Linked DNA regions of Nothobranchius furzeri. The protein of the gene in region 3 interacts with the protein of the main gene of each other region in a pairwise test. Links are inferred from orthologs where the notes say so. Each region holds a gene or a part of one and is shown on either strand. Other genes may lie near its edges. The genes, in order: snrpf, polr2l and coil.

Region 1 (6,605 bases), on a different chromosome or scaffold from region 3:
ATTCAAAGTCCTTGTTTAGGGAAAAATTACAAGTCCGTTTATTGTTTGTATCACAACATAAAAACAGACCTAACGGTACAAAAAAGGGAATCGTTTCAAAGATGTGGAAAAAGAATCTGTTTGTCTCACACGGTGAAAAAACAAAAACACGTAAACTGCAGCTGGAGCTGCACAGAAACACAAACAACAGGCTGGATCATTCATTCACTCTCTCATTTCTCCGTCCTCTTCCTCCTCTTCCACCCCTCTGATGTATAAAACGTTGTTGCATCTGAGAAAACAAAACGCGTTATTTAGCACAAAAAGCTGCAGGAACAACACAGAAGCTGTTTCGTTTCTTTCATCGTTTATTCGCTTTAATTACTAACAAAGTTTAGAGTCTCCGCTGATTTTTGCTTTATGGAGATAAATCTGTTAGTCTGATCATCAGATCCACAGAAACCAACTGGTTCTGCAGCAGAAATGAATGTAAACAAAGACAAAAATGAGGATTTTAGAGATGAAATACCTGACGAGCACTTCGCCGAGATGGCCCGCCAACGCTCCGTCCACATACTCCTCTGTATTTGCCAGCTGTTGGGGACATGATAGATGTATTACAGAGTCACATGACCATAAATCAGTTGTTTTTGTCCCATTTTCAAAAGGAAATTCTGTGTAAATATCAGGGTTTGACTCATACCTCATCCACAAGAACATCCCAGGTTCAAATGAAAGCCTTTTCCAGGATTTAAAAGCACCTTTAAGTGTTTGCACTGCCTGTTAAAGTTCATCTTTAACAACATTAAATGATAGATTTAAGATGTGAGAAAGACTTTTTTATTTGGACTAAATTATTATACTGATTTAGTCTAATTCTGAGTGGAAAAGAAGGTATTCCTGCTAGAACTGAAACGGTTCCTCGAGCATCTCAAATAATTCGAGTACAAAAAAGCCTCGAGGCTTCGTTTAATTCATGTTTAATTAATTCATGGCTTTGCAATCGCCCGGGGTCATGTTTCACCCGGACCGAAATAAGTGACGCACATACACACTGCACTGAATGCACACGCGAGTAGCGAACGCAACTTAACTTTCTCTTAAGCCATGGCGGACAACGTGGACCCGGTGGAGCGAAAAAGACAGGAAATGTCAAAGATGTGGGACCATTTTTCACTTCGTAAGGCAGAAAACGTACTCCAGTGTAAATACTGTAAAACGGATGTAGCCTACCACACCACCACATCCTCCATGCTGCAACCTGACCAGGAAACATCCACCTGTAAATGTCACTTCTGCAAGCGGACTCGGAGCCTCTACAAGATAATGCATGTTAGCCTGTATTTCTGTATATTCTGCAGATGCTGTGCGACTTTTTCATTTGTAGCACTCAGTTTCAGCTCACACCGTACGTCTGGTAGCAACACTTCGGTCTTAAAATGTGCTAAAAATAGCTGTTTTTACAACACGTCAGACTTTTTACTGTGTTGTTATTGACGTCTGTTGTCCCTCGGGGTTGCTGCAGGAGGACGCGGGTATTTATGAGAGGAAAACGAAAGTAAATAAATGTTTTGTGATCAGTATAATTCGACAAAACCACGGCAAACATGCTTTCTCGACAATCCTTGTTATTGTGTGAGAAAATAAAGTGTAGAAATTAAAACGGACGTGTGTTAATAGGGAAACAGCTGGCGAGCCATGATTGCGCATGCGCCGTGAGCGGTTCTGGTTCTGTTTGGGCCGCAGCCACTCGCAGCGCTACTTCAACAGTTATCCTAGTTTTTGTCTGGCTTGCAGGCTCGTAGATTCTCACACCGGGGGAAATTAGCTCAGGTTGTTTACTTATTTTTTGCACAGGCATTTGTTTACTGTGAAGTAAAGTTGAAGTGCTGAAGTTTTGCAAACTGATTTTGAATAAAACTTGAAGAATAACTGGCAATAGCGTACTCATTTTAAGAGGTCTTTCATATTTTATAACATGCTATTTGATATAATGGTTTACAAACACAAAAGGGTCATTTATTAGAGTACTCGATTAATCGATAAAAGATTTGATAGAGTACTCGATTAATCGATAAAAGATTTGATAGAGTACTCGATTACAAAAATATTCGATAGCTGCAGGCCTAATTCCTGCATCTATATTCTTTCCAGTGGAGGTTTATGGATTAGACTTTTAAAAAGCTGTTAGAACTTCATCAACTGCTGTTGAACTGATTTGCATTTCGCTGACAACTGGGTGCATATCCTAGATATTGTTCCCAAATATACATGCAAACATTTGAAAACACACCCTGCTTTGGGAACATTTGTATTTTACTGCTGCTGAAGGATAAATAGGCTGCTTTGTTAATATTAATAAGTAAAATTATAATTACATGAAGTTTCCTTAGACATTTTGGAGCCATGACTTTATTCACTTCAGTCTCTTTAGCAAAAATTCCCTCAAACTGATCAAACAACGCCCCCTGCTGGACACGAAGATAAACACCTTTCAGCAGTCTGACTATGATCTGAAGTTGAACTGATTAAAGAACATCAGTGAGCCCTGGTTCTGCATGTTTTAGTTCCTTACCTGCTCCAACACACCTGATTCAATAGCTTAATTCTTCTGAAGCAGCTCATTATTCGCCTAATGACTCAAATCAGGTGTGTTGAAGCAAAGAAACATAGAAAACAAGCAGGATGATGGGTCTAAAGAGCTGAATTTTCCTGGGGTACAAATTTAATTTTATCATTTATTTTGATTTGGCTTAACCAAATTTATGATAATAAAGAAGTCTGACACAGATAAAACCACACAATAAAATCATCAAGCAGTAGCAAATCCTGAGCAGGTATACAAATAATTAAATGGTTTATTTTTCCATGTGAGAAGATTCTGTGGTTTGGTTGTTAGGAGGAGAAACGGCACCCACCTGCATGTTCATGTATCCATCCACAGACACCAAGTAGCCTTTATACTCCATACCCCACTTCAGCTTCACCATCACAGGTTTTCCCGTCAGGCCGTTCAGGAAAGGCTTCGGGTTCAGAGGTAAACTCTGTAGAAGAAGAACAGAGGTCAGCAAAGCCATTACATCCCACACTACTGAAGAAAATTAAATGCATTTAACGACTACATTTCATGAATTTGTAACGCTGCTGAACAGCAGCGTACCCCCAGCCGTCCGTCCTACAACACAGATACTCCTCACTCCAACATGAAGGAAATCCGGATTCAATTAAACGTTTTTGCGTAGAATCCAAACTTTAAATCTACTGCAAAGTAAATCATTTTTATTGACTTTACTAATGAATTACTTAATGGCCAAACAGCTGTTTAACCAATCTAATTTTATTCATAAAAAACGTTTAATGAATCAGCGCAACTGATCTGTGTAATAAAACAAGCTGTTAAATCCTAATAGTGTTATTTTTCTTTAAATTGCATTATTTTGTTCAATCACTATTAAATTTTAATATGTTCTCCCATAACACAAAGGTTAATCCGGGTCAGGTGGTTTAATAAAAAGGTTTAAATGCTTTACTGCTGTTTTATTTACCTGCAGCGTCAGCCTGACGAAGTTTGCAGCCGCAAACGAAACGTTGCAGGCAAATAAAACCTTTCTGTGTTTTAAAAATAACTAAAAGATGGAATTAGAATTTCAACACAGCAAGCACACACCAAAGATGCTCTTAGCTCATTCTGAGTCGCTTGTTTTAAACCGATCATCTCTCTTAAGGCTAGCTACAGGACACCGTGGACTTAAAGGCCTGAGGAGTTAGCTCACATTATAAAGATTAAATAGCTAAAGGTCGAGAGACATATTATTAATATATATTCATTTCCTTATGGAAGCTTTTGATAAACGATCTTAGCGAAATAGTTTGGACTTTATTTTGCCAGGAAGCGAGGGGATGCTAGCGGTTGATGTAGCCTCTGCGGTCTTTTCTCTTGTTTATTAACAGTGATGAACGAGTAGACGGCTTACAACCCAAAGGGAATAAGAAACCGAAGATTTATAACACCAGTTTTGTGTTAATATGTGTTTGAGGGTGTGAAAGGTCTAGGTCGAAGTTATGAATGAAAAGCTAACATGGCTAACGCTAAACAACAAAAATACACTGAATTAAATCCTGATAGTTCATTCGCAAGACGATAAAGATATACAACGTCTTACTCACCATTTTATATCAAATTAAACAGCTTTAATAAGCTAAATCAAAAAAGTAAAATATGTTCGTCTCGATAACGTTTGCAAACCACGAAGCACGCTTTACCGCCGACCGGAAGTACAACTTTCCGACCTGGGCACGAGTCTCCGTGCTTTAAACAGCGCCTCCCAGTGGCCGGATGAGCGAACTGCTACCCAAGTGATTTAGTGTAAAGCTCCAAAAGTTTCCCCTCTTCCTCTCATTTACAGTCACCCATTGAACAGTAAACTGTGAGCTGATAAACGAAACGTGAATTAAACACCTACAATATGTATGCACGATCTCTGGGGTTGATATGTCAGTTGTTTATAGAGTATCTGCTATATGTTCGTGGCACGATACAGAAATAAAGTCCAGTCCAAAAAGTTGTATCTCCTCTACATTCACAAAAGAAAATGGCAAAAAAAATCAGTTATTAAGTCCAGGAAAAACTAGTAATAATTTTCTTCAAACTCGTTTTCATTCTCAGCAACAAGATCATGTCATCTGCCTTGAGTTGAACTCCTGCTCTATTTATGTCATGCAGGATCAGTGACTGATTGAAAACATATCGGTTTAGGAGCTAAACCTGGCACGACTGTCATAACTGGGTCATGCTTGCTCTCTGCAGCTTTGTTTTTCTCCAGGCACAAGAAGCCCGATGTTTAAAAAATGTTTTCTGCTCTGAAGCGTTTGTCTGTTACCAAAAAGTCAGGCAAGTTCAAACCTGCCATGGTGAATAAAACCGAAATCTGACTTCATTCAGCAAATGGCTGGGTTTTGTCAGAAAAATTCCTATGAAATTGCTCTGGATCTCTCTCTGCATGTTTGAAATACTTGTTTCTTTACATCACTGAGTATTTTCCCGACCTCACCTTTCCAACGTGTAATTAACCCGTCCATCAGACAGTCTGGTCTCAGTTATGGGATGGAGACGGTACGCGAGGTTTAGAGAAGTGGCCAGTCAGAGGGTGCATGAGTTGTATGAGAACTACTGTTGGCATGAGGCGTAATAAAATCTGTTACAGACAGACAGACCGACTGAACCGATAAAGAAAGCATAATATATTTTTCATGTGTTTAAAAACGTATTTAGAGCTGCAAAATGATGAAGAGACACAAATAAATTTGCAGTGTTGCAAAAACTGTAGTCACAAGAAAGTAACTCGTGCAAAGCAACCAAAAACAAAAGGGAAATTATTTATTAATTAAATATGATTTTAAAATAGCAAAATTAGTCTTACGAGGCTATAAAATAAAAAAGATGACATTTTCACCAAATGGTCACAAAGATTAGAAGTTATGAAATAAAAATCATTTAAATTAGTAACAAACAATGAAAAGAAAACTACAATTTATTCTAAAAGACCAATAAAATCAGCAAAACGACCACAAAGAGACACAAAATTACATAAAAGCGATCAAAGTTACCAGAATGACAACAATCACAACAACAACGTTGCCTCTACAAGTCGAACGGCTTTAGGAAACATCGACCGAAGAAGCTGAAAAAGAGAAAAATCACCAGAAAAAGAGCTGCGACTAAAATGAAGCTTTAATGTTTTCACGTTTGAGGGGTGAGGTGTGTTCTCATCTGCCTGCAGCTGTTGTGTGTTTAGAGCAGCGATCACCAACTCCCCTCCCCGAGGGCCGGTATCCAGCATGTTTTACTGTTTTCTCTGCTTCAGCACACCTGATTTCAATCGGCAGGTGATCAACCGACTTCTGCAGAGCCCGATGAGCCTCCGAACCGGTCAAGCGTGTTGAAATAGGGAAACAACAAAAACATGCCGGTTCCCGCCTCTCGGGGAAAGGTGACCACTGGCTCAGAGCATCAAATCTAATTTTTATATAAATCATTTCACATTTCAAGTGATTTAAATAATAATTATCGTAGCTTGTCCAGCTTCTTCTGCTGCTTTCCATTCGTTGACAACATCATTCGGAGGAGATCAGCTTTGTTCAGGAGGCGAGTGGGAATTTTCCAGTCTGCTGCCGGATCCAGTCTGAAACTGGACAGCCCTTTGAAGTCTGCAGAGGGGAGCAAATGGAGGGACGCCCGTGGAGTGGATCAGATATGGAGCGCGGAGCTGACAAACTCAGCAGACTGTGTGCAAATGCACTTTTAGCTGTCCGCTGATTACTTCTGTGTATGACCTGCGAGATTCCCATCAGCCTCAGCTGCACTTCTGGTGCAGGCAGATTAGCTGTGTGTATACCCCCCCCCTCGGACACACACACACAGATGTGTGTGCTCAGGTAGTGGAAAGGTTGGAAACATGGTTCAGGAGAGCTGAGATTGAACAAAGATGTCTCCTTGGTTCAGAGCAGAACCGCTGACTGATGGAGGACAAACAGAACCGAGTTAACAGGTGAGAAAGTTTAGCTTGGCTCGCTGCTTATTGGACACGGGTCAGAAGCCCAGAAAGCAGGTCAGGGTCCGATTAGAG
Region 2 (5,995 bases), on a different chromosome or scaffold from region 3:
AATCACCCCATTTAAGTTTTTACCAAGGCTGTATATGGAGAATAATTACACTAATAATACATGCATGAAGTCTCAACAGCACAGCATAATGTAAAATTAATTAAAAATATTATAAAAAGACTTATTCCTCAGCTTGATGCCTAAACCTTTTAAACACAACTGTCTGCTTTATTTAGTTTAATCCAGCGTGAGCAAATATTGACCTGAGGTTGCAATATTTGTGCATTCCGACACAGTGAATGAGCTTGGTTAATTTTGTGTAAATATTTCAAAATTATATATCCACTGTGTTCATGATGTTTTTGAGCAATCACAGTTCTCTTACTTTAAAATAGAATATTTGAAAGAGTTGGTGAACGAACAGTCACGTTTATGCATAGCAAAGGATTATGGATCTTTTGTTAAAAGAAACACCTGCACAGGTGGAATTAGATATATTGAGAATAAGTATGAGCATGGGTACAGGCAACAGCTGACCTTCACAGGGCTAATACTGGCCCAGTAATCAACAAGGCCACTACTAATAATGTGGACTAGAGCCTATTTGTGGCAAGAATTTGCAGATTTCCTCAACTTTCCATCATTTTCCAAGTGTGTCAAACTGACATTTGTCATTCTGGAAAGAAAAACCTTTTTATTCAGTTCTGTCACTCAGGAATAAATCAGTGTTCCTGGGTTGATTCTGTGGTGTCACTCGTTACATCTACATTGTACGTTGGTGGCAAAAAAATATGGTAAACCTTTGTATTGAGCAGGGGTCTGCAATCTACAGCTCTGGAGCCAAGTACGGCTCTTTGGAGCTTCCACAATTGCTCTTAATAATGTATTCTAAAAATGGTAAAATACTAATTTAAAAAAATATATATTAATATAATAATGCAGATTCAAGCTACTGTTCTGTATTTTCACAGAATCAATTGCATTCAATTTCCTCAACAGAATTACACTATTTTTATAACTTTCCTGATATACAGAATGATATTCATACAGTTTTTGCAAAAGTTTTATTTCATTTTTCCTAATTTAAAAACTTAATCAAATCCCATAGAGAAGATACTGATAGAAGATAAAACAAGAGTTGTGACTATAATCTAAAAACAAAAAAGTCAGAATCATGATTTCAACCTCAGAATTCTGATTAATTTTTAGACATTTCTCAAAAATTCATTGTCTGTTTTCTGAAAGCCCTGTAACAGTGTGGGAAACAGCTCTTTGGATAGTAAAGGTTGCAGACCTCTGGTGAAGAGTAACAAAGACAAACTCATTGGGTTTAAAATAAACCAAAACATTATTAAACACTGAAATATGACACGTTCTGGGACAAAAGAAGAAGTTGGTTTGCGTGTTTATTCTAACCTCTATATGGGTTTGAAAGCCCACAGCCAGTCAGCCACTAGAATTGAGTCAATTTTTATGCCACTCTGTGTGTTTTCAAAGTCACCCACCAAAAATATGTAATGAAAGCATTTATAATAGCATAAAAGTAGTACTCATACTTCACTGAAAGGGGGAAAAGAATTTGTTACTGCACAAACACACCTGTACAGTGGCTCACTAGCCTTTCAGCTTGCAACTGTAAAACTCATCCGGTTGTCTCTGTTTGGTAGAAAGGTAGTTTTGACAACCAGAATGTATAGCTTCACCATATTTTATACCCCCTAAAAAACTCATAAGAGCATATCACCATCACTAGACAGCTCCTCTGACATGTTCAAAAAGTAGTAAGTCAACACAAAAATAAATTTCACCTTACATTGTACAATACAGTGTACTCTTAAAAAACAAAAGAATATGAAAACTCCTATTTTCATAATTTCAACAGCGTATAAATGCAATAATTCAGGTAGGATTCCTCATTTAGCATATGTGCTGTAGCAAATGAAATTACATAGATGATGTATTACTGTATAATGTTACTGATGGTAATGATAATGACATTTATCATGCTGACTGTAAAGATGACTATGGTGGAAATAATATGTATGTTTTATATTTTAAATATTTTCTTTATGCACCCTCCTCTATGAGTCCAATCATTTAAATGTAAAATATGACAAATCTGAAATTCAATCTTATTAAAGGCAGTGAACCAGTCCTATAGTGAGCATTTCTTTTGTGGATTCATGTTAATATTAATTTGTGTAACTATCTGCATTGGATGAAGATTTTATTTTTGCATGGTACCACCTTCAAAAACATTAGTTTTAATCAACTAATTTAGCTCTTTTCCTTAACATTCTGTCAAGATGGTATATTGAATTGCAATTGCATTTATTAGTTATATCAAGGAAAATGTTAGAGTTTTTAAACTCCTTTATCTGTGGTTACATGGATATTAATACTTTTGCTTCAAAGTTGTTTGTTTTGTAAAAGGAAAAATACATTGTGAGGTGAGTGACTTGACATGTTAGCTAAGTTTGATGGGGAGTACTGCCATTTTTATACGCTCGTTTATGAAGTGAGCTGTGGTCATTATTCAGTAGCAATATTGTGATTCTAATGAATTGTTATTTCACTTTTGCACCACATTTATTAAAACCAAATAGACGAAGACGCTCACACGTTTTCCGTGTCAGTTTCCCCATTTTCGTTTTTTTTTTTTTGGGGGGGGGGGGGGGTCAATTTTGCAAATCACAGGAAACGCTCACCTCTTATTCCGCTTTTATTTTGGCGGATTTTACCCGGAAGTTGTTTTAACGACATAAGGAGTGAGAGAACGCCATCATTATCGTGCTGGAGTTACTTTTACCAAGAAAATAGTACATTCATCTGATCTACAGCCTCAAAAGGTGAAACATATGGTAAAACGTGATAAACTAATGACGTGTGTAAGTTCGTTTAGCGGAATAATTTCAACAGCAGCTAACGCTAGCTGGTGGGCTAGTTACGTAGCGGAATACAGCACTAACCATAAGATTTGATTTCAACCGTCTTTTTTAAGTAATTCGTTTTTGGACTATTGATTAATCCATCTGAAAAAAAAAACTAAATACGTGTTTGCTTTAATCGTTGCAGTGCTAGGTTTTGCTGCATTAACGTTAGCAAAACATGCTCACATGGTGGTCTTACTGCGGTGGTATGCGGAAACGTAAATGTAATTTAAGTTAAACGACTCAACTGTGATTGTTTTACATTGTTTTCAAACATTAACCGGGTTGACTTTTGTTGCAGGTATTTAACGATGATAATCCCTGTGAGGTGCTTCACTTGTGGGAAGATTGTGGGGAACAAATGGGAAGCGTACCTCGGTCTGTTGCAAGCGGAATACACAGAGGGGTGAGAAACAACCACGTCTAGCTTCACGTTTCATGATCTTTTTACGTCCGAAATTGTTCTGGCACGTGTTTGAGTAGCTTTTCTACAAAGGTAGAACATTTCAACATTTGGTCACAATGCAGGCAAGCTAAATAACATTTAAAAAGAAGATTGGGTTTAGATTTGTTTTTAAACCACAATGCCTTTCACCTTTCCTTATGGTTTTCAGCAGTGATTAAAACGTGTTTATGTAACATATCAGGACTGATTTTTGCCATCTCCCTCCCTAGTGATGCTCTTGACGCTCTTGGCTTGAAGAGGTACTGCTGTCGAAGGATGCTTCTTTCTCATGTGGATCTTATTGAGAAATTGCTGAATTATGCTCCGTTGGAAAAATGAATGTTGTGGACTTTGTAGCACCATTATCAGGGTGAATGTGTGTACTATGTAACCTTAAATTACGACCACAGAGAAGAATTTATGGAAACATTTTTCAATTACTGGATTTTTTAAAATAAAATGAATAACCTTGCTTTCTTTCGTCCATGCGTCTACATTTTATGTGGTTGGCAACGACTAGCTCTTCAGATCTTAGCTTTGGAAATTAATGGTTTTAATCGCATAGTTCATTTCATGAGATTGGAAAAATTGATGAATGATTAAATGTCTATTTCCTGTCAATGTGACATAATTTTACAGCTTTGTGTAGTTAGTTATAACAAAACACTGGAGGATTTTTTTTTATTTGTAGAATTTATACAAAAAAAAGAATGAAAACAAGTTATTAACAGGTGTTCACTACATGCATGTTGAAATTCTATAATACAAGAATGAATCTACACAACTTTTTCTTAAAACAAATCAGACATGGTGAATATAACTGATAAAAAGTAGGTTTCATACTTTCAAACATCCAATGTCTCAGCTTCAAAGAGTTTTGACATTTATCAACCTTGGTGCAAGAAAATGCTCATCTTTCCCCGGCAGGATTCTTCAGTCTGGGGAGAAAAGGGAACAAAACCAGAACAAAGTCAGAGTAAAAAAAATAAAGGGATGCCAATCTTTCGTGATTTCAGTTAATGCATTCATATTAAATTCAGACGTTAAAGAGCTGTATATTATCCTGATATTGTGTCTGACCTACAGTGAAGATTAGAATACAAATAACTGCTCATTTAAAATGTTTATAAAGGAAGAAATGCTCCCCTGACTCAATGTAATTTTTAGCATATATAACTTTTGTAGTTAAGTCTGTTTATCTTACCAGGTTAGTAGTATCGGTCTTTGTAATCTCGATGTCTTTCTCGCTCTCGTAAGCGCTCTTTGTCCCTGTCTCCACTCCAGGAATGTTCTCTATGTCTTCGAGACGTTCCCGCACCTTCCCTGCTGTAAGAGTCACTTCGGTCACGATCTCGGTATCGCTCTCTGTCACGATCTCTGTCGCGGTCGTGGTCTCTTTCACGACCTCTGTCCCGGTCTCTGTCTTTCTCTCTTGAACGCCTGCTAAAAAGAAAATCTTTAATTAGAAAAAAGCTTAACCCTCTAAGAAAGACAAGCACTCAAACCAAGTTTCCTAAATATACAAACCTGGTTTCACAGTTGCTTTGGATCGAGACTAAACAGTCTTTGAGTGAGGTGACCAAAGCTCGGCAGCGTTCATCCCCGTGCACTTTAGACTGCTTTATGATGGCAATCGCCGTTAATAGTGTCTCCATGGCCATCTGCTGCTCTCCTGCATTAGAAATTCAGGAAATAAGATCGTCTTTTAAAAAGCAGGTTCAGTGGGAAACAAATTTTTTTAACTTATTTTTGAAAATGATCAATGACTGAGTTTAACCATGAAAACAGTCTTCTACCCCTATTTCCTTCATTAGCTTTTGATAGACACTAGACGGAAACACACTCGGTTCAGAAAAGCCTGACAGATCTAGTCACACTGTCACTTAACATTCATGGACTCACCCATCTTGACTCGCGACGGGGAAATCTGTTGTTGGTTTACCGTCCAGGAAACGGCAGTGAACGTCTCGACTAGTAGATGCTAATGATTAGCATTAGCAACTCCACAACAGCAGAACTCCTTCAGACTTGTGTCATTTGTGGAGATAAATCAACGTTGCAAAGCAAATGTAGTCAGTGGTAGAGTCATGTTGCAGTTAGCCAATCCAAGGCAAGATATCCAAATATCAGGAAATAAAACTCTAAATCCTGCCGTCTGAAGCTACGTTCTCCTCCAGCTGGCATCTACGTCCTCAAACAGGCGCACCGGAGCTTCTTGTCCCCCAGAGTACGAACTACAAGGCATTCATTCCTACTAGAAACCACTGCAAATGTATTAAAAAACATGAATAAAGTTGACCCTTAAGAACTTTTTAGAGGTCCATCTTAAAGTACAAATGTACAATTTTTTTTTTTTACCTTCTTATATTTGATTGCAATTGCACAATATGAAAGTATGCTTACTGGGATGTTTTTGCTTTTAATTACAACAGAACTCTTAAAATTTAAATCACTAGCCGCCAATAAAACAATCGTAAATTATTTAAAAATGTAAAACAAAAAGTACATTTTTTAAATTAGTATGAAATTCATTACACATTGGTAAAACTAATAAAATATCTGTTTCTTCTTGGGCAAGTATCTTAGATGAAAAGGTTTTTTTTTTTACCTGAAAGTTTCGACATCCTACAAGATGCCTTCTCCGTGACGACACAGGTATTGGGGAAACCAAAACTGTAAG
Region 3 (6,657 bases):
AAACTCCGCTCTGGAAAACCGTGCCTACAGCGGCATCTCACGCAAGTTTGTTACTGTAGATGCTTTGGTGGTCCAGTGGTAAAGACCATCTCAGGTTGCCACGAGCTGAGGTGGGTTCAAATCCTGGTGTGGGCAATACATAATTTAGCCACCTGGAGCAGATTTCATGCTGTTATATTTGAGTTTTATGGATTATTTTCAGCAACATTTTTTGCGTCTCTAAACATTTTCTCTCTTTGTATTTGGTCGTTTCCAAGCAGCATCTTAGTTGATTTACTCGCCTCACCTCACATAGACTCACACTGGCTAAATAAACAAAGAAAGTAAATAAAACATTGTAGTCCTATTATTTTAAACAGTTTACCAATATAAGGTTGGAAACATCAAACAGACAAGTGCTGTTAAAAAGAAAAAAGTTACTTCTCACATGTGAACCTACTAGGGATGTGAATCTCAGTGCAACTCACGATTTGAGGTGCCGATTCGATTCAGAATCGATTCTCGATTTAAATCGATTCACAATCAATATTATTACAGAGTGTCAGTTCCAGGATTAACTGCTTGTTGTACAAGTTAGTTAAATCTATGGGACATTTTTCTTTGACTTTAAACTGTTCATGCTAAAAATAAAGCTAATTTATGAGGTAAAATAAAATTATTCTAAGACTGTAAACAGAAACAATCTTTTGACCAAAAGGCAACATTTATTTTTGCGTACCTTGTAAAATATAACAAATCTCTAGTTACCTAACAGTAGCTTTGAAAGGAATACGGTCAGATGCTTTTTAAGTATGTGTGGAAACAAGTTTAACGCTTGAGTCCTCAACCTGTTTAACAAAAGTGCCTCAGATTTCTTACAAAGGAAAATGTGTTCTCTCATTTCTCAATAACTTCAAATAAATACATGAGTAATCCTGAGTACTCACTTATCAACTTAGAAAATAAATATGAGAATATCTCAATGAGTATGGAAAAAATTACATTCAAGTGCCCTCTTATCAGCAGATTCAAACATAAATCATCCCAATTTATGGGACCACAAAAGTAAATGGAGTACTGACTATCCTTACAAAGATAAAAAAAAAAAAACAGACAAAAGTGCATCTCAAACCTGTAACATGCCAAATATTTGAGTTCTTGGAATCGATTCTGAATCTCTATAAATAAACAATCCCGATTCAGACTTGAATTGATTTTTTTCAGCACCTCTAGAACCTGCCCAACAACCTAACCACTAGACTACCAAGTCTGTTACATGACACTAGTCGCCACATATCCAGGGGAGACGGGTTTCAGACCAGAGACTAGCTTCCAGGGGACGAGCAGGGCCTGATGTTGGGAGATGAAGTGACATATAACTTATACATTAGGCTGTTTCAGGAATTTCAAAATAAAGTTTAAAATTTGCAGCTGAAACAGCAAAATGCCTGGATGCAGCCTAAAAATGGTTCTGGGGAGTTTTCTCATGAGGAAACAACAATTACGTCCTAAAAAGCTACCAAAAGGGATTTTTCATGTAATGGTCCCTTCAAAACCCTCTGATCCTGGTCTGACTGGAGTCCTGACTTTGCTGCTATGGCTGCTGATTTGGTGCCTCGGGATGACGCCCCTGTGGCTTTGAGGGAAGCGACCACCAAATAAAGTCACACAAAGTTTTTGTTGTCAAATCGAGCACCAAAGACTAGTGTACATTTTATTAAAGGCATTCATTTTTAATCTGTTTTTATTTCTAGGTATGGACATGTTTTTATTCTAGGTGCTTTTAATGTCCATGTTTGTTGTGACTTAGCTTCAGGAGGCGACTGTCGCTCTTCATTCATCAGCCACATGCTTCCGCTTAAAATAAAAGAAGGTGATGCGGCGTTGAGCCCCTTGGGCTTCTGTGAAGGTTACAGAAGATGTGTTTTGGGTTTGCAGTGCCATCTATCCACAGTAGACATTGAGTATAGGAGAATCTGAATCCTTAATAAACGAGAGGGTGCTCGCTGCAGAACCACAAAGGCGGAGCTGCACCATAAGGTGGAGCTGCACCAGGGTCAGCCCCGCCCATTCACGCAAACTCAGCCTAGCCCACTGACTTCCGTTTTTGTTTTCCAACTTCATCGCAAACTAACCTGACCCACATGAATTATGGCTGTTACTACTTTACAAATGTTAATGCTCCAATTAAACAAGATAAATATAACTTGCTACATGACAAAGCCTGAATACATCTTGAAATGAAACGATTTCTTTTAGCAGATATCTGCCCACAGCCGCTCTAACAATAATGTGGGGCAACAGCATGAGTGACTGTCATATGTGCTCTGGTAGTCCAGTGGTAAGATCATCTGAAGCAAATTTTGCTTCCCCCTCAGCTGATGCTGGTTCGATTCTCGGTGAGGTCGGCATCAATCTATTTAGCCAGCTGAAACATTTAATTTGTTTATATTTTAGTTGTAATGTTTATTTTCAGCAAAATATTTATGTCTCTAAAAGTTCTTTGAATTTGGTCGTTCCTAAACAGCATTTTAGTTGAAACTCTGCTCACAAATGGACTCACACTGGCTAAATAAACGAATAAATAAATAAACACATTAGTCATTGTATTGTAAACGGTATACCAGTAAATTGTTGTAAACATAGCACTGGCAAGTGTAGCTAGAAATTAAGAAAAGGGGTTGTAATCTACCTAAGATTTCTGCCACTGGGAGTCGAACCTGCGCAAAACTATATGCCAACCTGCCTCCATAGCCCCTACCCCACCACATCTGATATGAAGTAAGTGGTGTTACATGTAATTGTCCTATCCAGTCTGTCTTTGGAGATGGGTTGTATGGTTTTTCGGCGGTGTCTCAGTAGAAGTCATTTCAGAAATAATTTGTCAGAAAATTCACAGAATATCCAGATTTGAGAACCAAGACCAGGCCCACTTCAGGGGAGGAGACCAAATTGAAGCTGAGATGGGAGGAAAATGCATGAATGAGGCCAAAAATGGCTTTGGCGTGTTTCTTATGAGGAAATGACAATATAACATGATAAAAAAGTTCCAAAAGTTAGATTTTTAATTATATAGAACCTTTACAAAAACTGTTCAGTTAACTTCTCACCTCCGTCCTCAATCTTGTATTTTTTAGCTATAACACCCTCTTTGGTTCCAGAATGCTATCAAGTCTGACAACTGGAAGGAATTGTACTGACTCTGATGGAATGGACGGGGCTGACTCTGGAATGGGTGGGGCTGACCCTGGTGCAGCTCCACCTTCTGGTGCAGCTCCACCTTCTGGTGCAGCTCCACCTTTGCGGTTCTGCAGCGAGCACCACTTGTAATAAACTGCTACTACTAAAAACTCTTATTTTACATGGTTAAAATTAACCCTAATCCAGCTACATGTAATTTTATTCTATAGTTTGTTGATTTTATTTTCCTGTTGATTGAGTATTTTACCCAGACTTTCTGCTTTTGTGCTTATGTATTGATTTAATTTACTCTTGATTCTCCAGCTCCTCTAGAACCTGGCAAGTTTGACCTTGTCTATCAGAATCCAGATGGTTCAGAAAGAGTGGAGTATGCTGTACCCAGGGGATCTTGGGTAAGTGTGTGTGTGTGTGTGTGTGTGTGTGTGTGTGTGTGTGTGTGTGTGTGTGTGTGTGTGTGTGTGTGTGTGTGTGTGTGTGTGTGTGTGTGTGTGTGTGTGACCAAGTTCTTTTAGATAAACTACATGTTTCAGCTTGACCTGAAAAAAAGTATTTTCATAGATTAAGATCCCTTCTTTAACTTTAGACAATGGTTTAGCCCCTTTTTATAAACGTTTACTTTATTAAAACAGTAATGATTTAAATTAATATGTAGAAGGAAAAACTAGCTGCCAACAAAAACTTTCAAGTTGTTTAGATTCAGTTAGATCTGTCATTTTCTGTGTACTTAAAACTCATCCTGTTTACCTTTGTTTACCTCTGGCAGATCACAGAACGATGGGAGTCTCTGTTGGAACCAAGACTGATCATTTAAATCGGGGAGGAAAACATACATAAAATGTGCAGTCTGCTCGAAACATGGAGTAGCTACCTGCAGCATATTAAAGTAGCTGAGACCTTCTAATTTTAGACAAGGACTTATTGTTTTTTTTTTAAAAGGGATCTGAGTGAGATCAATTCCAAATAAACGTGTTTCCAATAAAACATTGCATATTTTTCTTTTATCATGAGAAAATCTTTTTGTTATTGTCACATGTAAACTTTTGAACTTAAAACTTTGTTTCTCTCTTCACAGAGTGTTAAACATCGCTAAAAGATGCACTATGAACTCTGGGTTATGGAAAAAGGCCCTCTCTTATGTTTATAGGTACAATTTGTAAGAATGAAGTGAGAATGACATCCTGTGGTCAGATTGGGTGCGTTCTTAGTGCCGTTCTGTGAGTTTCATAGCTGTTGCCAGTTACGGATCAGCGCCAGATGATTCTAGATGACAAGGAAAGACTACACAGTAAAGTTGATAGGTAGATACCTAGATTGCGCCTCTAGAGTGGGATCTCTTTTTTGTGGGGTTCCCCAGGGGTCCGTTTTAGGTCCGCTTCTTTTCAATCTATATATTTTACCTTTGGCAGCCATTTTTAGAAAATTCCGGGTAAATTTTCATCTCTACGCTGACGATTGTCAGCTTTATGTGGCCCTAAAATCTGCTGACCCTGTGCAACCACTGACTGACTGCCTGAGTGAAGTCAGGTCCTTGCTCTCGGCTAATTTTCTCCATCTTAATAGCTCCAAACTGGAGGCTATTTTCTTTGCCCCCTGCTCCCCCTCGGCTGTGGAGCCATCTCTGCACCCTTCATTGTCAGTTTTGGTGAAGCCGACAATTACAAGTTTGGGGGTCACTCTGGACGCTTTTAAAAAAATGGATGCACAGATAAATCAGGTAGTCAGGTCGTGTTTCTTTCATTTTCGCCGGCTGGCCAAACTAAAATCTGTCCTGAACAAAAAAGATCTTCAGTCAGTTGTTCATGCTTTTGTAGAGCCACGTATGGACTATGCCAATTCTCTTTTATATGGTATGCCCTCCTCTTCAGTGGTACGCCTCCAACTGGTACAGAATGCTGCCGCAAGGTTTCTTACGAGCATAGACCGACGGCAGCATATCACCCCTGTTTTAGCAAATTTACACTGGTTTCCAGTTCACTTTCGGATTAAGTTCAAAATTCTCCTGTTGGTTTACAAATCTATTCATGAAATGGCACCCTTGTATGTATACCACTGAGTCCACTGATCTCAGGCTCAGGGGGAGAGAGTTCCAGAGTCTGGGGGCCACAACAGCAAATGATCTGTCACCTTTGGTCAGTGGGTAGGCCAGACCCCGAGGGTCAGAGACAGACGAAAGCAGCCCCGGCGGGGTGGGTTGGATCCCGAGGGTCAGAGAAGGACGAAAGCGCAGCCCCAGCGGGGTTGGTCAAATCCCACAAAAGAGCTAAACAAGCATCACTCTTTTCTAACCCACTGAAGCCACGCACGCAGAAGAGAAACAGTTCTCAGTTGTGTCTCCTTCATATGAACTCGAACATCTGTTCTTTTGGCTCATTCTGACAGTTTGTTAGATTGTACATCTCAAACACAGTCGCAGTATCCCCAAAAATCTTGGAAGAGCAGCACATTGGCATTAACTTAATTATCAGTTCATCATGAGGCTGCTCTGTAAACCCACGTAATATCCAGTCGTATGGCACTTCAGACAAGCAACACAGGAACCACTGACACCTGGCACACTGAGCTTGGATAGGAGGTTCTTGCAATTGCTTTCCTCTGTCTCCGACCCTCGGGGTCCGACCGATGCCTCGGTGAACCGCCGCGCTCTCCCCTCCGGGGTCAGCTGGGAGCCCTCCGTGGTGTTAGTCGGACACTGGCTGCCAAAGCACAAAAAACCAAACAAGTTACAAAGGTTAAAAGTGTGGTCGGGACAGAGGAGAGGTTCCTGTCAGAAATAACAGAATGAATCTGATAAATCGTAACCGGTTGTTAAGGATTCGTTCTGTTTGGAGTTAGTTTCATTTGGAAATGTTGTCTGAGAGTGCAACCTGTTCCGAGCTTTCAATCAGTCTGGTTACCTTGGCAACACGGCGTGTATGATCGGGGAACGGAGGAGGTTCTGGGGGTTCTCGTAAAAGTAAACGTGAACTGGAATCGGAATCATGCGGTTTATCCGTCGCGCCACAAAAGGGTCCCAAATCACAGCATGACAGAAGGATTTGCTTTGAGATCAGTGCACTCACAGAGAACACGTTCCCTCCAGAGTGCACACTCTGTTAGCCCTCTCAGGCTCAAACTAAGTTTTGATAAAAGGACCAAAAACTGAGTCCTTCTGGAGTACTTCAGAGTTAAAAAATGCTCATGAAATACGTATGTGGAGTTAACAGGTTGGTATAGGTTTTAACATTGCACATCTGCAACGCCTGCCTCCAGAGGGTTAAATCCTCCAATAAAGCAGATTAGCCATGATATCATTTCAGTTTCCCGTCGGTCACATGTGCCCTTTATTGGTTTTAGCACCAGTTATGCGAAAAAGCAGTTTTTCCACCGACATAATTATTTATTGGGTGAAATAATTTTTGGAGAAGGAACACGTGTGAACGACTGAGACGTTCATTACTGCGGTTCTTCGTTCCACAACTAGATGCTGTTTGCATGCAT

The links.
Region 1: the proteins of coil (region 3) and snrpf interact in binary tests that used the Homo sapiens proteins (3 or more experiments, as listed by UniProt). The two-hybrid records come from large-scale screens. The link is inferred for Nothobranchius furzeri from reciprocal best matches to the Homo sapiens genes COIL and SNRPF.
Region 2: the proteins of coil (region 3) and polr2l interact in binary tests that used the Homo sapiens proteins (3 or more experiments, as listed by UniProt). The two-hybrid records come from large-scale screens. The link is inferred for Nothobranchius furzeri from reciprocal best matches to the Homo sapiens genes COIL and POLR2L.

The regions. Positions count from the first base shown.
Region 1 is NC_091741.1:34,921,646-34,928,250, forward strand, and holds snrpf (small nuclear ribonucleoprotein F), read right to left. Parts: upstream 4,287-6,605; 5' UTR 4,150-4,286; coding exon 4,147-4,149; intron 3,024-4,146; coding exon 2,898-3,023; intron 574-2,897; coding exon 509-573; intron 272-508; coding exon 205-271; 3' UTR 12-204; downstream 1-11. UniProt on the Homo sapiens protein: Plays a role in pre-mRNA splicing as a core component of the spliceosomal U1, U2, U4 and U5 small nuclear ribonucleoproteins (snRNPs), the building blocks of the spliceosome.
Region 2 is NC_091749.1:62,789,600-62,795,594, forward strand, and holds polr2l (DNA-directed RNA polymerases I, II, and III subunit RPABC5), read left to right. Parts: upstream 1-2,650; 5' UTR 2,651-2,789; intron 2,790-3,171; 5' UTR 3,172-3,181; coding exon 3,182-3,276; intron 3,277-3,545; coding exon 3,546-3,654; 3' UTR 3,655-3,787; downstream 3,788-5,995. Other genes in the region: cleavage and polyadenylation specificity factor subunit 7, read right to left, coding at 4,524-4,758, 4,843-4,987. UniProt on the Homo sapiens protein: DNA-dependent RNA polymerase catalyzes the transcription of DNA into RNA using the four ribonucleoside triphosphates as substrates.
Region 3 is NC_091758.1:11,394,054-11,400,710, reverse strand, and holds the end of coil (coilin), read left to right. Parts: intron 1-3,483; coding exon 3,484-3,572; intron 3,573-3,943; coding exon 3,944-3,991; 3' UTR 3,992-4,161; downstream 4,162-6,657. UniProt on the Homo sapiens protein: Component of nuclear coiled bodies, also known as Cajal bodies or CBs, which are involved in the modification and assembly of nucleoplasmic snRNPs.